6 linked regions of the Tribolium castaneum genome follow. The protein of the gene in region 3 interacts with the protein of the main gene of each other region in a biochemical or structural test. Links are inferred from orthologs where the notes say so. Each region holds a gene or a part of one and is shown on either strand. Other genes may lie near its edges. The genes, in order: CSN5, Pef, Cul3, UbcE2M, SCCRO3 and Ubi-p63E.

Region 1 (3,225 bases), on a different chromosome or scaffold from region 3:
CGTAAACTTTTACTGGAGAATAACCGGTTGGGAGTCAAAATTAATCTTGAAACTGTCACAGCTTAGAACATTATCCGCACTACAAAGAGCCTATACATCACGAAACTAGTTGGAAATACCGTTGAACCCACCAAAAACTCACCTAAATTGAAACAAAGCTGCATTCGCTGGAAATCCTTGCGGTTATTTTAAAATTCGCAGCAGGTGGTATCTGGACTCGTTTAAAAACCCGGTTTACGCGTAAAAAACCTGGTTATTTTTAATTCGGGGGTAAAATCCCCTAGTCTAAATTTAGTTCGAACGGGAGGAAAGGAATTCATCGTGTTTCAATACGCGAGTATGTGGCCTTGGATTTGAATTTTTTACAGGCGCGTATTACATTGCAAGAAGACAGATAATAAACAAATTGCGTTTGAAATAAGCGATAACCGAACAATGCAAGTGCACCACAATGGTCGTTCCGTTGGGGATTTTCGGCACAGACATGTGGGTGCCACACCGACACCCTGACTCACCCTCGGACCCCAAGTCACGAATTCGCCCCTAATTACGGGGGACGTGCACTAACAAAGAACGCGGCCTAGCAACAGCCCCCAGCCTCAAGCATGGCCCCAATTTTTGAATTCTGCGACAACCGGCGCGCATCCCTCGACTCTAACGTCCCAAATCGCGAAAACTACGACATTTTCGCCGGCATTTGTTAGCGGAAATCGCCCCCCGGACCCAAAAATATGCTATTTAATTGACCACTTGGCCCAAAACTCACCTTATCCTCCTAAAATCCTATTTAAAACGAGCACAAATTCTACAACACAACGTTACCACACTACTTATTACAAACTTTTCTTTAACTAAAACGCGCATAATCTCGAATCAAAATGGCGGGCGCCCCACCATTATGCACCGAATGCCGCCCGCTGATTGGTCGGTTTGATTTAAGACGCTTTAGAATTGCCAACTGCTAAAAAACCACCCTAATAAAACTGTCAGGGTGTGGTTGGACTTGTTTATGGGTTTTAAACGATGAGACTCCAATTATACTCCCATAACGTTACACCGAATTACGGCCGGGCTTTACGTTCGCAAAAACCAACACAAAGTCGTTTCGTGCAAATGGGAAAAAAACAAAAGAAAAACGCTAATGGGACGACATCTGCAGGACTGTTAACACACTTTGCGAACACCTGTCCCACCTTGAAAAACACAATTCGGTAAAAATAGCCCAATGAAGGCAATAACGGGCCACCAAATGCCAAGCCACTCGTAAAATAATTATTTTCTGTGACAAAACTCCTTGTCGGTTTGTGCCACAAACAATTTATCGATTTTTTTTCATTACCATTATGCATTGTCTCATTATTACAGCAATTAATACGTAAATCGTCCCATATCTAAAAAAAAAAATTAAAAAAGTGTCCTTCCAGTTTTTATATTTACGATTGGTAGCGCTGTAATTTGACATCTGTGTTTTGACAGGTCCGATTTTTTCGAATTTTTGCCCAAAATAGCCCAGAATTACGGTAAATCCTCGTCATTTTCGCAATAACTCTCCATTTGTGATTAGCTTTTGCCCCCTTTTGCCGCAATGTCGAAGCCGGGGACCTCCGAAACCCAGGAACAAATCGCACAAAAAACCTGGGAAATGGCCAATAAAGTCGAACTGGTGAACTCGGTCGACGATATTTACCGCTACGACAAGAAGCAGCAGCAAGACATCCTCGCCGCGAAGCCCTGGGAGAAAGAGTAGGCAAAAGTCGGCCCTAACCTCACTTTACCTAATCTCAATTTCCAGCCCTCACTTCTTCAAAGATATCAAAATCTCGGCCTTGGCCCTCTTGAAAATGGTCATGCACGCGCGTTCGGGGGGCACCCTGGAGGTCATGGGCCTGATTTTGGGCAAAGTCGACGGAAACACAATGTTTGTGATGGACTCGTTTGCGCTGCCTGTGGAAGGGACAGAGACCCGAGTCAACGCACAAGCTCAGGCTTACGAGTACATGAGTTCGTACATCGAGGCTGCGAAGCTGGTGGGCCGCCAGGAGAACGCGATAGGCTGGTACCACAGCCACCCGGGATACGGGTGCTGGTTGTCTGGGATTGACGTTGGCACCCAGATGCTCAACCAGAATTTCCAGGAACCGTTCGTTGCCATTGTGATTGATCCTGTGAGAACCATTTCCGCGGGGAAGGTGTGTCTAGGGGCGTTCAGGACGTACCCGAAAGGGTACAAACCAGCAAATGAGGAACCGTCAGAGTACCAGACCATTCCTCTGAACAAAATCGAGGATTTTGGGGTGCATTGCAAACAATATTATTCGCTTGAAGTGTCGTATTTTAAATCGTCACTTGATAGGCGATTGCTTGATTCCTTGTGGAACAAATATTGGGTCAATACTTTGAGCTCGTCTAGTTTGTTAACGAATGCTGATTACACAACTGGGCAAATTTTTGATTTGTCGGAGAAGTTGGAACAGTCGGAAGCGGCCATTGGGCGCGGGGGGTTCATCGTAGGCGGCACTGATCCGCACGAAAAACGAACAGAAGACAAACTGTTGAAAGCTACAAAGGACAGTTGCAAGACTACGATTGAGATTATTCACGGACTGATGGCCCAAATGATCAAAGACCGGCTTTTTAACAGCACTTCCTTGAATAATTCGACCCATTAACGCGTTTTAATCTGTCTGATTTGTTTGGATTTAATAAATATTTATTTATAATCTAATTGGTGTGTTATTGGTTACCTAGTCCTAAAAAACTACGGATATCTAAAGGTTAGGATACGAAACGTCGTACAAATAAAACGTTCCCTTCCAAAGCAATGGATTTGAAAAAATTGTATTCGTATATCGGTTAACACAGCAAAAAAATACAGGCAAATGGAGCATTAAATTCTCAATAGTAAGACATAAACATAATGAAAAAAAAATACCGTAAACTACATTTAAAAAAATTTCAATCTTTGCCAATTAGCACTCTATCCCATATTTTTCAAAACGCTGGGAATACGATCAGCTTTTCTCAGTCTGTTCAGAGTGCAAAACTCAACATTCCTGCATTTTTTTTTTCAAGTAATTAGTGAATAATTGAATGAATTTAAATTAATTTAAAACGACTTGGCGCCGGTATAACGCTCGAAGTGCCCACATTTTTGCTTCACTTTTTGGGTCCAGAAAATCCCACGATTCTGCATCTCGTTCCGTCTCCTAAGTCATAGTCCTCCGT
Region 2 (2,652 bases), on a different chromosome or scaffold from region 3:
CTTCAATCGTCTTGCAATTTTTTGTGCAGCAGATAAACAAGTAGGAGGTGATTTTTATATTTTTATTGGTCAATTACTCATTCCTGGGACAAATCAACCGGTTTTATAGGGTCGGTCTATCTCGGAACGGAATTGCAAATAAAATGGACGATTCCGCTTAGTTTTCGAATTATTTTGATTCCTTTGACGGAAACACAGTTTTTTTTAATTAATTAATGATTACACAAAAACTAAGAAACCTAGAAAAGGAGGATTTTTACACAACTAATTAAATTCTACAAAAAATTAATAATTACAATCATAATAATTAAAATAAATAAATTTTTAAAATCAAAATTAACAATTGGCGAACACTGCAATTTTGACACTTTTGCGTAAATTATTTTTTATTCCAAAATCAAGGTTAATACAAAAATTTTATAAGATAGAAAATTTGTTTATAATCAAAAAATAACTTAATATAGAATTAGAGTATGCATAATTCAAAAATGGAAAAAAAACTTAAAAAACATTGAAATTAAAATTCTGTAGATCTAAGTGACTGAAAGAGTGATAATTAAAAACAAAGAAACTGTAATGAGTAAGAACATTAATAAGATAAGATAGAAAAACCACGAAAGGCTAAAAGATTTAGGAAAAATGAATATTATGAAATAATGTGGAGAAATTAAGGAACTAAAAGCTGAAATACTGGAACAAAAAATTTTAAGATGTTAAATAAAATAACTACGAAATTGAAGAATTAGATGTAATACATGATTTTAAACTAAATAGTAATAAAAAAATAACAAAAAAAATAAAGCCGTTTGTGGCCAAAACAAAAGAGCTAAGACAAAAAGTTTTATTCCATCGTAAAGAGTGCGTCAAACTCTATAAGCTGGAATAAATTTAAATAGATTTTCTTCGAAAATTTTTATTTTTTATATTTTGTTAATTACTTCCAGCAAAACTATTGTATGTAAAATAATCTGGAAAATTAATTAGTTTCAAGAAAATACGAAAATTCGTAATACCTAGTTTTCAAGTTATAAATATCTATATATTTTACCAATTTTTACTTCTGTTAGCAATATTCTCAAAAACTCCTAGTTGCAAGGCAATGGTCTTTTTTTAATAGACAATTAAAGGAGCTTTCTGACGCTAAGCTTAATAACTCCGGAGTCAAAAATCAAACGTAGCGCTATTCTGTGGTAATAGGATATTTCCGCTCCAGATGGCTCTAGAAGCGTTGTTACTGACTGTTACCATAGAATAAGAGGTTAACAGTTGACAGTTCTTGGTGATTATTTGTTTATATAAATGTGCGTTAATTTCTAATATTTTTTTGTAATTGTACATGCCACAAGCATAATGTACGGTGTAAGTACCTATTAGAGAACTGTAATAAATTGTATTATGCATGTTACTCGTTAAATAGAATCCCGGGAGTGGATACCAAGGATATCCTGGTGGGGCTGCCCCTGGGTACGGTCAAGGAGCTGCAACTCCGGATGTTCAGCAGTGGTTTAATACAGTAGATAAGGATCGTTCTGGTCAAATAAATTGGCAAGAACTACAAAGTGCTCTTATCAATGGCCAGGGGAAGAATTTTTCAGACGTCGCTTGCAAGCTTATGATTGGGATGTTTGATAGGGATAAGACAGGGACAATTGATATTAACGAATTCCAACAACTCTTCGCATACATTAATCAATGGTTGGCTGTATTTAAAAATTATGATAGGGACCAGTCAGGACACATTGAGGAGCCAGAACTTGCCCAAGGTAATCTTCAACTCATCTACATTTATTCCCGGAAATATTTAAAGAATGTCGGTGTTAATAGAATTATTGCTGGATCTTATTTTATTTTTAGCGTTGCAACAGATGGGATTTAAATTTTCCCCCGATTTCGTAAAATTTTTAATTGCTAAAAGCGACCTTCAAAACCACAAACAAATGTCAGTAGACCAATTTATCGTACTTTGCGTGCAAATCCAGCGGTTCACTGAAGCTTTCCGATCAAGGGACAGTGAAATGAAGGGGGTTATTACAATTGGATTTGAAGATTTTCTCAGTGTCGCGATAAACTGTTCCACATGATTTACTATTTAATTCGTTTAATTCCATTACTAGGGTTAATTTTGTAGGAACAATAAAACTAATAAAACTTAGTCTCTAAAATGTTTTATTAAAAATCCCGTACAGTATAGATGTTCCACATCATTTTTAAGCAAACAAATACTTATTGTAACAACAGTAGGCAATGGGTCGGGTCAAAAAATATTACTGTCGTATCTATAAATTAATCACATTATTTTACGTACATTTTTAAATAGCTAAATTTTATAGTATAGTCTACTGATTAAAAGTGAATTTCAGCAGCACATTTTTAAAGTCGTTGATTGTTTGTTAGGCGTTTTTTTCTACTTGATATTATAAAAACGTTAGGATTATAGTGTGGTCGTTGTAAGTACAAGTTGCCGTTAAAATTCACTTGTGAAACGTAACTGAATTAATCTACAAGCATTGGCCAATGTCCCTGTAAAGTTTCAGTATAAAACGTCGAAACAAATCACAGCTAAAACATGCTACAGCAAATTTTAATCCTAAGTGAAGAAGTACAAACTTTTCAAATATATTTTTATATTAATAAGCGTCATTATTGTGCCCT
Region 3 (3,500 bases):
CCGACTCGTTTAAAATCTCCTCATAGGTTAATTTCTCATGGTTGTTGAACAGCATTAAAACGACCATTTGGTAGGTGGACACTTGGATTATGTGCTTTCTGGGGCCTGTCCGCGGCGAAATGGAGCTGGTCGACGAACACGCCCCGTCTTTGTCGGGGTCTTCCTTTTTCGGACCGAAAAATATGGCATTGAGATCGGCGTTGCCCAACTGGGGTTGTAACGTCAACTGCCTTCCGCTATGTTTGGCTAAATAAAATCTACCACAGAGGGGGTTTAGAAAAAAAATGGTTTCGAGTTGAGTGGTTTACCAACCTACTAAAACATTCGAAGGCAGCTAGTGGAACAGCAGGAATGTGGCACTTGGGAGTGGCGCTCTGCGTAGGCCAGAACCCGGTCGTTAAGACGCGCATGAAAAGGTCCACCCCGCATAAGCTTGACTGTGGATATGTAAAAATTAAAAATTGCATACAAGTTTTTTTCTACAATTTTAATACCTCAGTTTTGGTGATATGATCCTTAAACTCGTCCATGATCGTGTTTGAAACTGTCATATCTTTGAACATGCCTTCAAGTTTTGACGTGAACTGACAACCGCACTCAGTCTAAAACAAAATAAAAATTATTTAACAATTATTATTATTATGACAATCAACAAATAAAGTGAAGGGCTTGGTGTAAGTTAACGCAGAATTTAACAATGAAATTATTGTGTAAAATAAAAATCTTTTAAAAGCATTAATCCTCTAGTCTCTTTTTATACAGAGTGATTCAGAAGTCTCGGACCATTTCTTGGGTAATGTTAAAAAGAAAGATCAAGCTAAGTGAAAAGTAAAATTAAGGATTTTTTAACGGCTCAAAAGCTTTAATGCTTTTACTTTTTATCGAGTCATTGCAAAAGAAATACCATAACAAGTTGTAAAAAATTGTTCAGCTGTCTTATGCAGACCAAATAAGGAAAGTAGTTTTGACGTCGTAAAAAATCTTTTTAATGTTATGTCTTCGATAAATTTACATTTCTCTCAGTCAGTCTTATAGAAGAGCTTTAATTCAAACGTTTGAGACAGAGAAGACATTAGTATAGTGCAGTCAAAAAAGCGTTCATATTAAAGTTTGGAGCAACTACTTATGATTATGAAAAAAACTGAATCAAAAATATTGTTTTTTGGACAGAGTTAAAAAATTCAAATAAAGGGTTTTTTCAATGTTGTTCAAAATAGGTAAGAGCTAAGAGCTAGGAACAATATAAAAAATCTAAATAAAAAAATGTAAAGCAAAACATTCTACATAAACATGTTTTGATTTTTTTGATATTAAAATTAACCGAGTTAGAAGGTGCTTAAAAGTAAAGAATGATAGGTAACAACTTAAAAAAATGGGAAAATTTTGTGATTACATCTTCATATCTTCCTTCTGAACAAAGCTATAAACTTCATATTTTTTGCAAAAGATTTCTCAATAAATGTAGATTCCAACGAATATAACACAAGTTTTAGTCTTAACAAAAGAAAGTTGAAAAAAATTGCTGTTTTCTTGTAACGTGTCACGTCTGGTTAATGATTTTTTTTGAGAAGCAAGAATGTTTTTTTTAAGACTCCTACATAACCGAGATAAAATAAAAGTTAAATTTCAAATAACTGCAAGATTCAAAATGCAGCATAGTTGAAGTTAAAGTGAGAACGCAAATAGTCAAGAAACAAAATTTCATCAAACTTCCATCGTTTTACAAGTTTTAGATCTACAAAAAAAACTACTAAAATCACTGAAAAAAATAATTGTAGATTCATAATCTATTCGTGTTGCAGAATGGTGCAAAGATAGTTTGGCTATTGTAACTGTAATATAAATATTTGATTTTAACAGTTCGGTGATGTTGATTTTTTTCTAATTAAAGTTCAAAATTTTTTCTCCATAAATAATTGTCTACCAAAGTTATATACCTGTTTTTTATTGAAAAAAACATTGTAGTGCAAATGACGAACCTGTTACAATGACAACTCACTATAAAAATTTTTTGCACCACAATGGACAATTGCAATAATTGCAAGGATCGACTTTATGACCAATACCCTTATTAAAGTGTGTAATGAATTTTTAATTAAAGATTTTTTCAAAAATTTACACTATTTGTTCTAACCGTTACTTCTGAACGACTTTTGCAGTCTTTTGGAGGAAGAGTTTCTAATGATGATTTATTAATTACTATGAGAATTTCTCTGTTAGTATTTTTTTTAAATTTGTTACAAGTGTAAGAATTTTGTAAGGTGTTTTGGTTAGTTTTTCCGACAGTGTTTTGGGTCTCAGTGACAACAAAAAAAATCTCCACGTGGTACTTTAAAAATACCCCATTGAAGTCTGTACTGGACTTTTATTAAATTAGAGAAAATTCCATTAATTTTTTTTAGTTTAGATTTTTTTTTTGATGTTTATACTTTGAAGACAATTATTCCGATTGTTTTCAAATTAATAAACACGCAGTTTGCAATAAAAAAACCGAATAATTTTTTTTTAATTTAGGAGAATTTTTTTAAAGGATCTTTTGCAATCTGATATTTGGAAGACATTATTATCTGATTGTCTTCAAATAAATGTACGCGCTGTTTGTAATTAAAGTGTTGAATTTTTGACTTAGTTTTTCTAATAGTTTGCAACTTCAATAACAAACATGAACTATTTTTTCAAATTTTATTATATTTCGAAAATTTGTTGAAATTATTAACCGAAACAACTGCTGTAACATCCTGTATTGGTAAAAATGTGTTGAAAATATTTGTAATTACGAAACTAGTCAAAAAAAATGTAAACGACTACTTAGCCTGACCCACAAACAAGATAAAGTTTGCAATAAATCGTTTATCTCAATTGCCTTTTTTTCAATATTATTAATTAGTAGTTGACTAAAATCCATCCTGGATGTTATATAAATAATGTGTAAAGCGTCTTGCACGGAATTAATTTGTGGTATTATTGTTTCAAGGTTGTTGATAAGTCGTATCAGAAAGAGAAACCTTGATATAAATTTAGACAGACGCTGTATGTTTCTGATATAAACACACAACTCACGTGACAAGTTCACGGTTAATATTTTTTACCTTTAACTTTGAAATCATATTTTTCTCCCAATCGTCGCTAACCGACTTATTCAAAAGTAATCGCTTGGCCAAGTGTTGTTTGTAATAGCGTTCGAAAACGTCTTTCTCTTGAAGGAACCTAAAGAGTACCATGGACTTGTCAAGAACCAATTCAATTTCTTGTTCGGACATCTGAAACGAAAGTTATAACACCGAGTTTTCCCCCTTGCAAGTTACCCACCCCTTTGACGCCTTTTTTTAATTTATCATCTATAAATAAGGAGAGGTATTCGGGCGATTTCGGGTTGAGATTGAGAAAATGTTCGAAATCTGAGGCGATCATCTGTTTGAAGATCTTATCGTTATTGAACGAATTCTTCAAGAAATGATCGAACCGATCCTTCAGATCTAGCAACGACTGGACGAATGTTA
Region 4 (2,841 bases), on a different chromosome or scaffold from region 3:
TCAGAGGAAAGCAGCCAAAGAAAGTAAAAGAATTGAACAATCGGGAGGTAAAATTATATGATAGTGTTGGGGGAATAACAAATTAATTTTGTTTGTCCAGGTTTTATGTTTACACAACATGAAGTACCCACAACTTTTAAGTTTGGCGCTCCAAAACCGTCATGAATATATGTGACGTGGTGTGTAAAATTTTTGTGACTGAATGTAAAATTGACTGTTAAGACCAGTGAAATGATGTACAGTTGGTAATTTAATCTTTTTTAATTTTTATTAAGTGCCTTTTTATTAAACAAAAAAAAAACGGATGTAAACGATTTAAATTTACCTAATATAGATTTAAATGGAAGTTTATTTTCCGTGTAATTGTAATTATTTTTCGACTGTGTCTCTTTTGTCTCATTTGTTTTCTTCTTTAGGGAAAGACAATGTAGTAAATTACATTATTTCTATAATATACTGAAAGGTGTTAAGTTATTGCATTTTAATAAAGAATTGCTTCGAATTTTTGTAGATTTTTATTATGAAAAATTATCTATTTTCTTAATTAAATCAGTTACATTTCACTGAGGAGAAATTACAACACACCGCTTTGTGGTGCTTTACGCTGGAGTGAGATATGATGATCACAATAGAACGATTGAGATGAAAAAGCCAAATAAAACAACATAGTGGTAGCTTTAATAAACGAAATTAGTAATTAGGTATGCAAGAATCACTCGAGTGTCCTCGTCAACGAGCATAAAACAGTAAACTTATAAATAAGTTCTTTACACATAAGAATCACTTGAGACAGCGGTCGAAATAAGTACTGCCAACATACCCTCCACGCATCGCCTTCTGGACGTTCTGCTCAAACAGCCGCCTGTTGGTCGTGAGCACTTCAGCCGCTTCCTTGTTCAAAGGATCCTCTGGATTGGGTTCAAGGAACAAATACTGCAGTCCATAGACGATACTGTTGATAGTCAGTACGGGCTTCCAATCCTCCCTTAAAATGTTCAAGCACACGTTGCCCTGTTGGTCGATGTTGGGGTGGTAGACCTGTGTCTCGCATTTGACTTTGGGGGGCTCATGCGGGTAATTGGGGCCCACTTTGAAACTGAATACGAACCTCCCTGTCTTGTAGAAACCCTAAACGTCCCCCCAATTAACCACAACCCCACACACTAATCCACAACTAACCTCATCCGGACAAATCACCAGTTTGAAAGACAGCAAGTCGTCCGGATCGGGAAACTCCGTCGTGCAGGTCTTGGGCAGGTTCAGCTCGTTGATATCTGCAAAGGGAGGGTCAAAATGGGGGCGCAATGACTCACAACCAACCTTTCGTAATCCTCAACTGGGCTGCAGAGGCTTTCTTTTGATTTCCTGGTCGCGGTGAGGCTTCTCCATCTTTTTTCTGTTGCTTCAGCGAGAATAGTTTTATCATATTTGGCTGGCGCAGGGGTGGTGAGGGGTCAGAGCAATGTAATTTACTGCGAGCACACTTTACAAAAACATGGGAAAGTCGAGTTTATTCGATTGCTTTTTGCAAGAGAATTTTTCACACATCTGTCAATGTCAAAACTGTCAATGGGACATGCAGGAATTTACTTTACCATCGGAACGAATTCTTAATGAAAAAATTTAAAAAATTCATTTATTGCTAATGCTAAGAATTTTTCTGCAAAGCACTTAATCAAAAGATCCAAATCAATAAAGCAGACCATCAGAAGACTATGTTCAAAGCTATTTAAATTAATTTATTTCGTGCCGTTGTTATTACATTGGTACTACTGGTGCGTTTGTCATCCTCTGCGGATTTTTCGCGTCTTGAGTTGTTGAAATTCGTAAAATTATTCTGTGAAACGAATTATTTCGGTTTAGGAGCGTTTTAGAACTGTTCGTTATTGTGTTTTTAGTTTGTGTATTAGTTTGTTGACCACCAGACCACAGATGAACATTGAAACGAATGTTTGCAGTTACTCAAAGGTAAGTGTACACATTTCTAATTTATTTGTTAATATAAATCCAACCCTAATATTTTAAAGCATCGTTATTGAAATTTTATACGGTACTACATTTTGACGCGCAGAGCAACTTTTGCAAAGTTTGGGCCACGGGTTTGAGCCGTCGCGTCGTCTTCGTTAATTGTCATTCAACTATCAACGCAGACGACGCGACGGTTTGAGCAATTTTAATTTTTTTACGAAATTATTAATTAAAAAATATTTTAGCATTTTGCCTAAAATATTGTAATATTTAAATTAAAATTGAGTTTTCATGAATATGGGGTTTGTTGTCTAAAGTGATAGATAGCAGAGGAGATAACCATCTGACTCATCTGAGTGTAAAAAACAAATTTAGTGCTTTTCTGAATTGATAATTTTCCAAGTTTCTTAAAAAAAATTGGAAATGCAGTCATTTCACACAAAGTCTCATCACTCATCACGTCATCAGTTATCACATTTTATGAGCTTTGAAAAGTACGACACTCTAGAGACTATTTTGAACCCAAATAAATATGGTCTGTAATGTAACCATTTTACAGACGACTTCAGAGAAATGGCTTTTCTAGTTATCAATCAATAATTCATTAATTTAAAAAGCTTGTATTTTTCGTTTATTAATATTGTTTGTTTGATCCTATATCTAATTTTAGGAAAAAAATTGTGTTAAATAAAAATTATTGTGCAATTATTCTTGCATATTATCTGCAAATAATATTATATCACATCAGTTCCTTTTAAAAAGCACCAGTCATTACATTTAATTTTTGATGATCCATCACAACAATTATTACGAATTAAATGAGACTTAGTCAAAGTAGATATTTTTCTCCATGCTGTTATGAGGTGTAAAAAA
Region 5 (2,664 bases), on a different chromosome or scaffold from region 3:
AAATTTCCTATCAGACTTTAGCAGTTTTTTTTAATTTAATAAAAAATAAAATTCATAAAAAAATCACAGTTTGTAGATGTGCCAACAGTGGGAATTATTTCCTAGGACACTGTTTCAAAAATAATTTATTTTTATTGTTGATCAAATTCTATTGCGCTCACGACTGTTAGACAACGTTGGCACATATCATTTATTTAAAATTCGTTATTTATCAATAACATTAATACAAAGAATTTTTTTACTATTTTTATCATTATATGTAAGCGATTCTCTGCCTCACTTCATTAAATTCGTGCGCCGGTTTTTGAGCACCCGGTATATACAGAGGGAAAATTTTTAAACTAAATAAGTGTCCAACCTTTAGACGCGCGGGGATGTATTTTAAATTTTTCTGGTTGCTTTATTGTATAAATACAAAAGCCTTTAAGTTAGTTTGTAGAAAATACTTTCCGTCTCTTCATAGTTGTTTCGAATATTGTGAAAAATCTCCACTGACATCTTTAAACTTGAGTATTTTGCCTCAGAATTTTTTTCGCTTTCCTTTGAGCGTAGAAAAATTGTATTTCTGGATATCGTCTCCTAGTCTGTACTTCGTTGTCAACGGATTTTCTACTTCCGAAAATTGGTGTAATTTTTTAGCCCCTTCCAGATTCTCTTACTGCAATGCCTTCATCAATAAGGGATTATCAAGAACTATAATAATTTTACGGTGATAAGTAAAGAAAAAAAGTGAAAATACCTCAACTTTCCTTATCCGAATGTTATTGAGCTATAAGGTTTTAGTCGACGAATAAATTTAAATTTGGGGTGCATTTTTTTTCTCAATATATAAGTAAGAAAGTGGTACTTTATGAAAGGTCTGACTGTATTTTTCAATCCTTTACAAAACGATTGATTTTGTAACCTGGTATTATTTTCTAAATGGATAATAATAAAAACCATTCCGTCAATAAGACGGAAACTTGTTAGGTATTTTATAATACACTTAAAATTTCCAGTCGTATCGTAAAAATCTTGCAATTATTTATTCATTCGATTTCCCGGTCGTTTGCAATATTACTAGGCTTTTTCTAAAACGCCCGATTATACATTGTTTTAAAAATCCTAAAAAAAGTTAACAAGCCCTAAAAGTACATCAGAATTGTAGATGCTGTCATGAAAGCCGCATTTGAAAATGATGAAGTGTTTGTAAGTTATCATAATTTTATCGCTTTTTCTTGCTACGCCACAGGTTTACCTTCCGGTTCGGCCTGGATTCTGCGGCGGGGCAGCGAATCCTGCCGACGGACATGGCGGTGGTGCTGTGGCGGCTGGTGTTCACAATGCGGGAACCCCCGATCCTCGCGCGCTGGCTGTCGTTCCTCGAGAGTCACCAGTCGGTTCGGGGGATTCCCCGCGACACGTGGAACATGTTTTTGAATTTCGCCGAAGCCGTGGGCGACGACTTGAGTTGTTACGACGACAACGAGGCGTGGCCGAGCCTGTTCGACGACTTCGTCGAGTACGAGAACGACCAAGCCAACCAAAACATTTCCAAAGACAAGGACTGCGAAGGGCTGATCATCATCGAGCAGAACGATTGATGGTGGTTCGGGCGTCTTGTATATAAAACTGCCTATATATTTTTGACGGGGCGAAGACCCCGCCGGTCGTGATATTTGCGTAGTGGTGAGGTGTGCAACAAGGAAATTTTTCTATGAACGTACGTTTGATCATGCAGTTTTGCGCGCGCGCTATTTGCTTTGGATGTGTCGTCTGATGGTTTTATATAACGGAAGTGAGAGATAGGCAAGAAACGTGCCTACATTTTTTACTTAAATTCGGTTCACTCGTCCATTAATTTTATTGTGGAGATGTTATTTTTTTATGCGTCGTGACTCAGGACTAGGCCGCTATTGATTTTTATGCTAAATTATCGGTGTGTTCAGTATTAATTCGGTCTCTTGTTGGAAGCTAAATTCGCGAGCTGTCGGTTTTTCCTTTTTTGTGATATGTTCTATTTGGAATTTTTCGTGTAAGACTGAAAGGTCATTTTAGGTGCTCTGATTTTAACTGTCTTATTTTTATTACTTCATTATTCTATCAATATATTTATTTAGATTTTTTAATTGTAGATATTACTGTATATTTGAATGTTTTGTGAATAAACAGTATGATTATTTAATTGGACGCAGTGATGCGCCCGTCCTTCACACCTCGACTTACTACGGATACCTAAAGGTTAGGAGATGACGCGGCGTACAAATAAAACGTTCCCATCCTCGATAGTTCTATTAAATCTCGCCAGAGAGCGCAAATTTTATATAATTTTTCTTCTCATATTTCATATGAAAATTTTAGTCGTTAGTTTTTCTTGGTAACATTTTAAGCCTTCTATTTAATATTTGAATCATAGATTATGAACACTATTTACCATAGCAACGTGTTTTCACTATTTTAAAAATTGAATAACACTCATACGGAAAAATTAATATATTTTTTTTTTTTTGAATAAGAGATTTAGAAAGGAAGTGTTAAATATGGAAACTTGCAACAGTTTTTTAAAATGAAGTTTACATCATTTGTCTCAAAAAAATCAAACATTAACGTCCCGAATTCGTTTTTACAAAATAGCCTACATTTGTTTGTGATAAATATCTATCAATTCGTGCAAAAAACGGTTGT
Region 6 (4,023 bases), on a different chromosome or scaffold from region 3:
TTTTTTTTGTCTTTAAGTTTTTTATTTTTATGCCTAACGTCAAATTCGATCGGCTGCCAAGTCCGGTTTCTCCGAATATCAATGAAAGTGAAGTCTTTATTTTTAACACTGTATTTAGCTTAACGAATTACTCCAAAATATGTGCAGTCATATGAATAACTTATTTTTTTAAGAATTTGTTGCCTTGTTGGAAATATACCTCAAATCTTTTTTTAATTTCAATTTGTGTGTTGGCGATTTTTGGAGAATTCTCGTGAGCGTACATTCTCGCGGGCCTACAATCTCGTCTAAGCTCCAAATCCAAAGACAAACCAACCCCGTAAAGCCAAATGTTTTAAAATTTTGATAAGCATTTTTTTGAATTAATTCACATGGAGTACTAAAATAAAACACAAGAATTAAGCCATCAATCTTTATTCTCTATTCGTAATTTCAGGAAACTTGTAACAAAAAGTAAAAAAAATATTAAGCATAGAAATTCCAGAAAATTACTGTCCTCCGCGAAGACGTAAGACTAGATGAAGAGTGGATTCCTTTTGGATATTGTAGTCCGAAAGTGTGCGACCATCTTCCAACTGTTTTCCCGCAAAGATCAATCTTTGCTGGTCTGGGGGAATACCTTCCTTATCTTGAATTTTGGCCTTCACATTTTCAATCGTGTCCGATGGCTCAACTTCCAACGTAATTGTTTTCCCAGTCAACGTCTTCACGAAAATTTGCATACCTCCTCGCAGACGCAATACTAAATGTAGGGTTGATTCTTTTTGAATATTATAGTCCGACAGGGTGCGCCCATCTTCGAGTTGTTTGCCAGCAAAGATCAACCTCTGCTGATCTGGAGGAATGCCTTCTTTATCCTGGATTTTAGCTTTAACATTCTCAATTGTGTCTGAGGGTTCTACTTCCAAAGTGATCGTCTTTCCCGTCAAGGTCTTCACGAAAATTTGCATGCCACCTCGGAGACGCAACACCAAGTGGAGAGTGGATTCCTTCTGGATATTGTAATCGGAAAGAGTACGGCCGTCTTCTAGTTGTTTTCCAGCAAAGATCAATCTTTGTTGGTCTGGTGGGATACCCTCTTTGTCTTGAATCTTAGCCTTGACGTTCTCAATTGTATCAGAAGGTTCGACTTCCAGGGTGATGGTTTTGCCAGTCAGAGTTTTAACGAAAATTTGCATGCCACCTCGGAGCCGCAATACTAAGTGGAGTGTTGATTCTTTTTGAATGTTGTAGTCGGAGAGAGTTCGGCCATCTTCGAGCTGTTTGCCGGCGAAGATCAACCTCTGCTGATCTGGGGGAATCCCCTCTTTGTCCTGAATTTTCGCCTTAACGTTTTCGATAGTGTCCGATGGTTCTACTTCCAAAGTGATCGTCTTCCCAGTCAAAGTCTTTACGAAGATTTGCATGCCACCACGGAGACGCAACACCAAGTGGAGGGTCGACTCTTTCTGGATGTTGTAGTCGGAGAGTGTGCGACCATCCTCCAACTGTTTGCCGGCGAAAATCAATCTTTGCTGATCTGGGGGAATCCCCTCTTTGTCCTGAATTTTCGCCTTCACGTTTTCGATTGTGTCCGAAGGTTCGACTTCAAGAGTGATCGTTTTTCCAGTCAAAGTCTTCACGAAAATTTGCATGCCACCTCGGAGACGCAACACCAAGTGGAGGGTGGATTCTTTTTGGATATTGTAGTCGGAAAGAGTACGGCCGTCTTCAAGTTGTTTTCCAGCGAAGATCAATCTTTGTTGGTCTGGTGGGATACCTTCCTTGTCTTGGATCTTGGCCTTAACATTCTCAATGGTATCAGAAGGTTCGACCTCCAAGGTGATGGTCTTGCCAGTCAGGGTTTTGACGAAAATTTGCATGCCACCTCTCAAACGCAATACCAAGTGAAGGGTGGATTCCTTCTGGATGTTGTAATCTGAGAGGGTACGCCCATCTTCTAGTTGTTTCCCGGCAAAGATCAATCTTTGTTGGTCTGGTGGGATCCCTTCCTTATCCTGAATCTTAGCCTTGACGTTTTCAATCGTGTCGGAAGGTTCGACTTCCAAAGTAATGGTTTTCCCAGTCAAGGTCTTGACGAAGATCTGCATGCCTCCCCTCAGACGCAAAACCAAGTGAAGGGTGGATTCCTTCTGGATGTTGTAATCGGACAAGGTGCGTCCGTCTTCGAGTTGTTTACCAGCGAAAATCAAACGCTGTTGATCTGGAGGGATGCCCTCCTTGTCCTGGATCTTGGCTTTGACGTTCTCGATCGTATCAGAGGGCTCAACTTCCAGAGTGATGGTCTTGCCAGTGAGTGTCTTAACGAAGATTTGCATACCGCCCCTCAATCTCAAAACCAAGTGGAGCGTCGATTCCTTCTGGATGTTGTAGTCAGACAAAGTGCGTCCGTCTTCGAGTTGTTTGCCAGCGAAGATCAAACGTTGCTGGTCTGGGGGGATACCTTCCTTGTCCTGGATCTTAGCTTTGACGTTTTCGATGGTATCGGAGGGCTCGACCTCCAAGGTGATGGTTTTACCAGTCAAAGTCTTCACGAAGATCTGCATCTGCAACGACACAAAAAATTACTTTTGTGACAAAGCAAATTTCCAAGCCGCCATATTGGATTTCGTTGAACAAAGAATTACGCACTGAATAAACCGAAAAAACACATTACTCACTATGTGGTTTGGTTTTGAACAGATCGACAAATTTACAAAATTAATTTTGTTAAAATTTAAACAAAAAAACACGTCACTAGGGCGATGTTTTTTCAAACAAATGTTATTGCGTCATGCGAAAAATTTCACAAAATTGCGACTTTCTGCGCTTCTTGCAATCGAATAATTCATGATGAAATTAAAATACATACCTTTACGGCTAGGAAAATTCACAATTTTAATTAAATCGCTTTTGTATTTCACCACTTTTGCTCAGACAATATGGCGAATGCAGCTGTGGAACCGCTTTTATACGGACGGCTTCCCCCACTCCTTTTTAATCTCGAACCCAAAGTACACTTTCTAGAATTTTCGACTAATTATCCAAAAAACGTCCTCTTTAATCAAAAATTTATACATAAACTTTAGTTGCTATCAGTTTAATGCCAATTCGGTTAATCGTGGTCAAAACAATGTTTCAGGTATTAAGAAAATTGCTTTTAATTGAACAAGATTCTAGGGACTTTGGCCAGTAGTTGTTGGTGACATGTCAGCTGATTTTTATCTACGTCGTCAGCTTTATCGATCAGCTGTTTTCTTTGTTTTGGAATTACGCCCTTTTTTATTTTTCAAATTTTAATTTATTTTCCAATTTATGCTTTTCAAACGTTTCAAATAAACCACCCATTAATACCTGCATGAAATGCCAAATTCGTCTGTTCAATTTTGAAAGGAATTTATTTGTTTACAAAGAATTATCCTTATCGTTGTTGTTCTAGAGTCTTGTTTATCATGTAAATACGGACGACAATAATAAATTATGTAAAAGGGTCATTTGGGACAAAGAAAAGTACAGTAATTCATTACAACTTATTTATTCTTCATATTGTAATAGATAAGGCACATTTGTGTCTATAAAATGGAAACAAATATCACATAAAGAGGCAATTATTGTGGCAAACAAACCCCTAAAATATGAAAATTAATTACAAAAATAATGGGCCATTTTACACTACACAGCGTCCATAAAATTAAAACTACAAGAACATGCTACCGAAATTACAGCAACAACAAAAATATTGCATCAGATTGATTATACGCCATAATTTCATACTTCCTATATCAACAATTCAAAATTATGATACTTTAACAAAGCGTAATTCTATTACTTCAACATAAATCTTTCGTCCGCATTATAAAACTAAGCAGTCAACAAATACATTTCATGTTACCTAAAATATACAATTCGGCTTTAACAGTTGCTAAACGTAACGTAGTCCAACTACAAAAATACAGGATAAGACGTGATAAACTTTATAGTTCCAAAACGGTAATAACCGCTTTTGGTAAACATGTTGACATTGGTGATCACCTAAAATTATTT

What was found.
Region 1: of the proteins of Cul3 (region 3) and CSN5, one has a biochemical effect on the other in vitro, tested with the Homo sapiens proteins (2 studies listed by BioGRID). The link is inferred for Tribolium castaneum from reciprocal best matches to the Homo sapiens genes CUL3 and COPS5.
Region 2: the proteins of Cul3 (region 3) and Pef form a complex in vitro, tested with the Homo sapiens proteins (2 studies listed by BioGRID). The link is inferred for Tribolium castaneum from reciprocal best matches to the Homo sapiens genes CUL3 and PEF1.
Region 4: the proteins of Cul3 (region 3) and UbcE2M form a complex in vitro, tested with the Homo sapiens proteins (2 studies listed by BioGRID, with this or other methods). The link is inferred for Tribolium castaneum from reciprocal best matches to the Homo sapiens genes CUL3 and UBE2M.
Region 5: the proteins of Cul3 (region 3) and SCCRO3 form a complex in vitro, tested with the Homo sapiens proteins (3 studies listed by BioGRID, with this or other methods). The link is inferred for Tribolium castaneum from reciprocal best matches to the Homo sapiens genes CUL3 and DCUN1D3.
Region 6: the proteins of Cul3 (region 3) and Ubi-p63E form a complex in vitro, tested with the Homo sapiens proteins (2 studies listed by BioGRID, with this or other methods). The link is inferred for Tribolium castaneum from reciprocal best matches to the Homo sapiens genes CUL3 and UBC.

What each region holds. Positions count from the first base shown.
Region 1 is NC_087395.1:23,654,608-23,657,832, reverse strand, and holds CSN5 (COP9 signalosome complex subunit 5), read left to right. Parts: upstream 1-1,199; 5' UTR 1,200-1,520; exon of another isoform or gene 1,521-1,564; 5' UTR 1,565-1,585; coding exon 1,586-1,743; intron 1,744-1,792; coding exon 1,793-2,669; 3' UTR 2,670-2,725; downstream 2,726-3,225. UniProt on the Homo sapiens protein: Probable protease subunit of the COP9 signalosome complex (CSN), a complex involved in various cellular and developmental processes.
Region 2 is NC_087403.1:4,842,524-4,845,175, reverse strand, and holds Pef (peflin), read left to right. Parts: upstream 1-1,202; 5' UTR 1,203-1,350; coding exon 1,351-1,359; intron 1,360-1,417; coding exon 1,418-1,763; intron 1,764-1,854; coding exon 1,855-2,081; 3' UTR 2,082-2,152; downstream 2,153-2,652. UniProt on the Homo sapiens protein: Calcium-binding protein that acts as an adapter that bridges unrelated proteins or stabilizes weak protein-protein complexes in response to calcium.
Region 3 is NC_087398.1:13,274,765-13,278,264, reverse strand, and holds part of Cul3 (cullin-3), read right to left. Parts: coding exon 3,310-3,500; intron 3,261-3,309; coding exon 3,090-3,260; intron 603-3,089; coding exon 495-602; intron 438-494; coding exon 313-437; intron 258-312; coding exon 1-257. UniProt on the Homo sapiens protein: Core component of multiple cullin-RING-based BCR (BTB-CUL3-RBX1) E3 ubiquitin-protein ligase complexes which mediate the ubiquitination and subsequent proteasomal degradation of target proteins.
Region 4 is NC_087394.1:37,270,882-37,273,722, forward strand, and holds UbcE2M (NEDD8-conjugating enzyme Ubc12), read right to left. Parts: upstream 1,599-2,841; 5' UTR 1,427-1,598; coding exon 1,321-1,426; intron 1,275-1,320; coding exon 1,180-1,274; intron 1,129-1,179; coding exon 781-1,128; 3' UTR 501-780; downstream 1-500. Other genes in the region: msk (importin-7), read left to right, coding at 1-47, 101-165.
Region 5 is NC_087399.1:5,912,494-5,915,157, reverse strand, and holds the end of SCCRO3 (DCN1-like protein 3), read left to right. Parts: intron 1-1,231; coding exon 1,232-1,583; 3' UTR 1,584-2,164; downstream 2,165-2,664. UniProt on the Homo sapiens protein: Contributes to the neddylation of all cullins by transferring NEDD8 from N-terminally acetylated NEDD8-conjugating E2s enzyme to different cullin C-terminal domain-RBX complexes and may play a role in the cell cycle progression by regulating the SCF ubiquitin E3 ligase complex, after UV damage.
Region 6 is NC_087396.1:13,943,084-13,947,106, reverse strand, and holds Ubi-p63E (polyubiquitin), read right to left. Parts: upstream 2,801-4,023; 5' UTR 2,661-2,800; intron 2,547-2,660; coding exon 489-2,546; 3' UTR 399-488; downstream 1-398.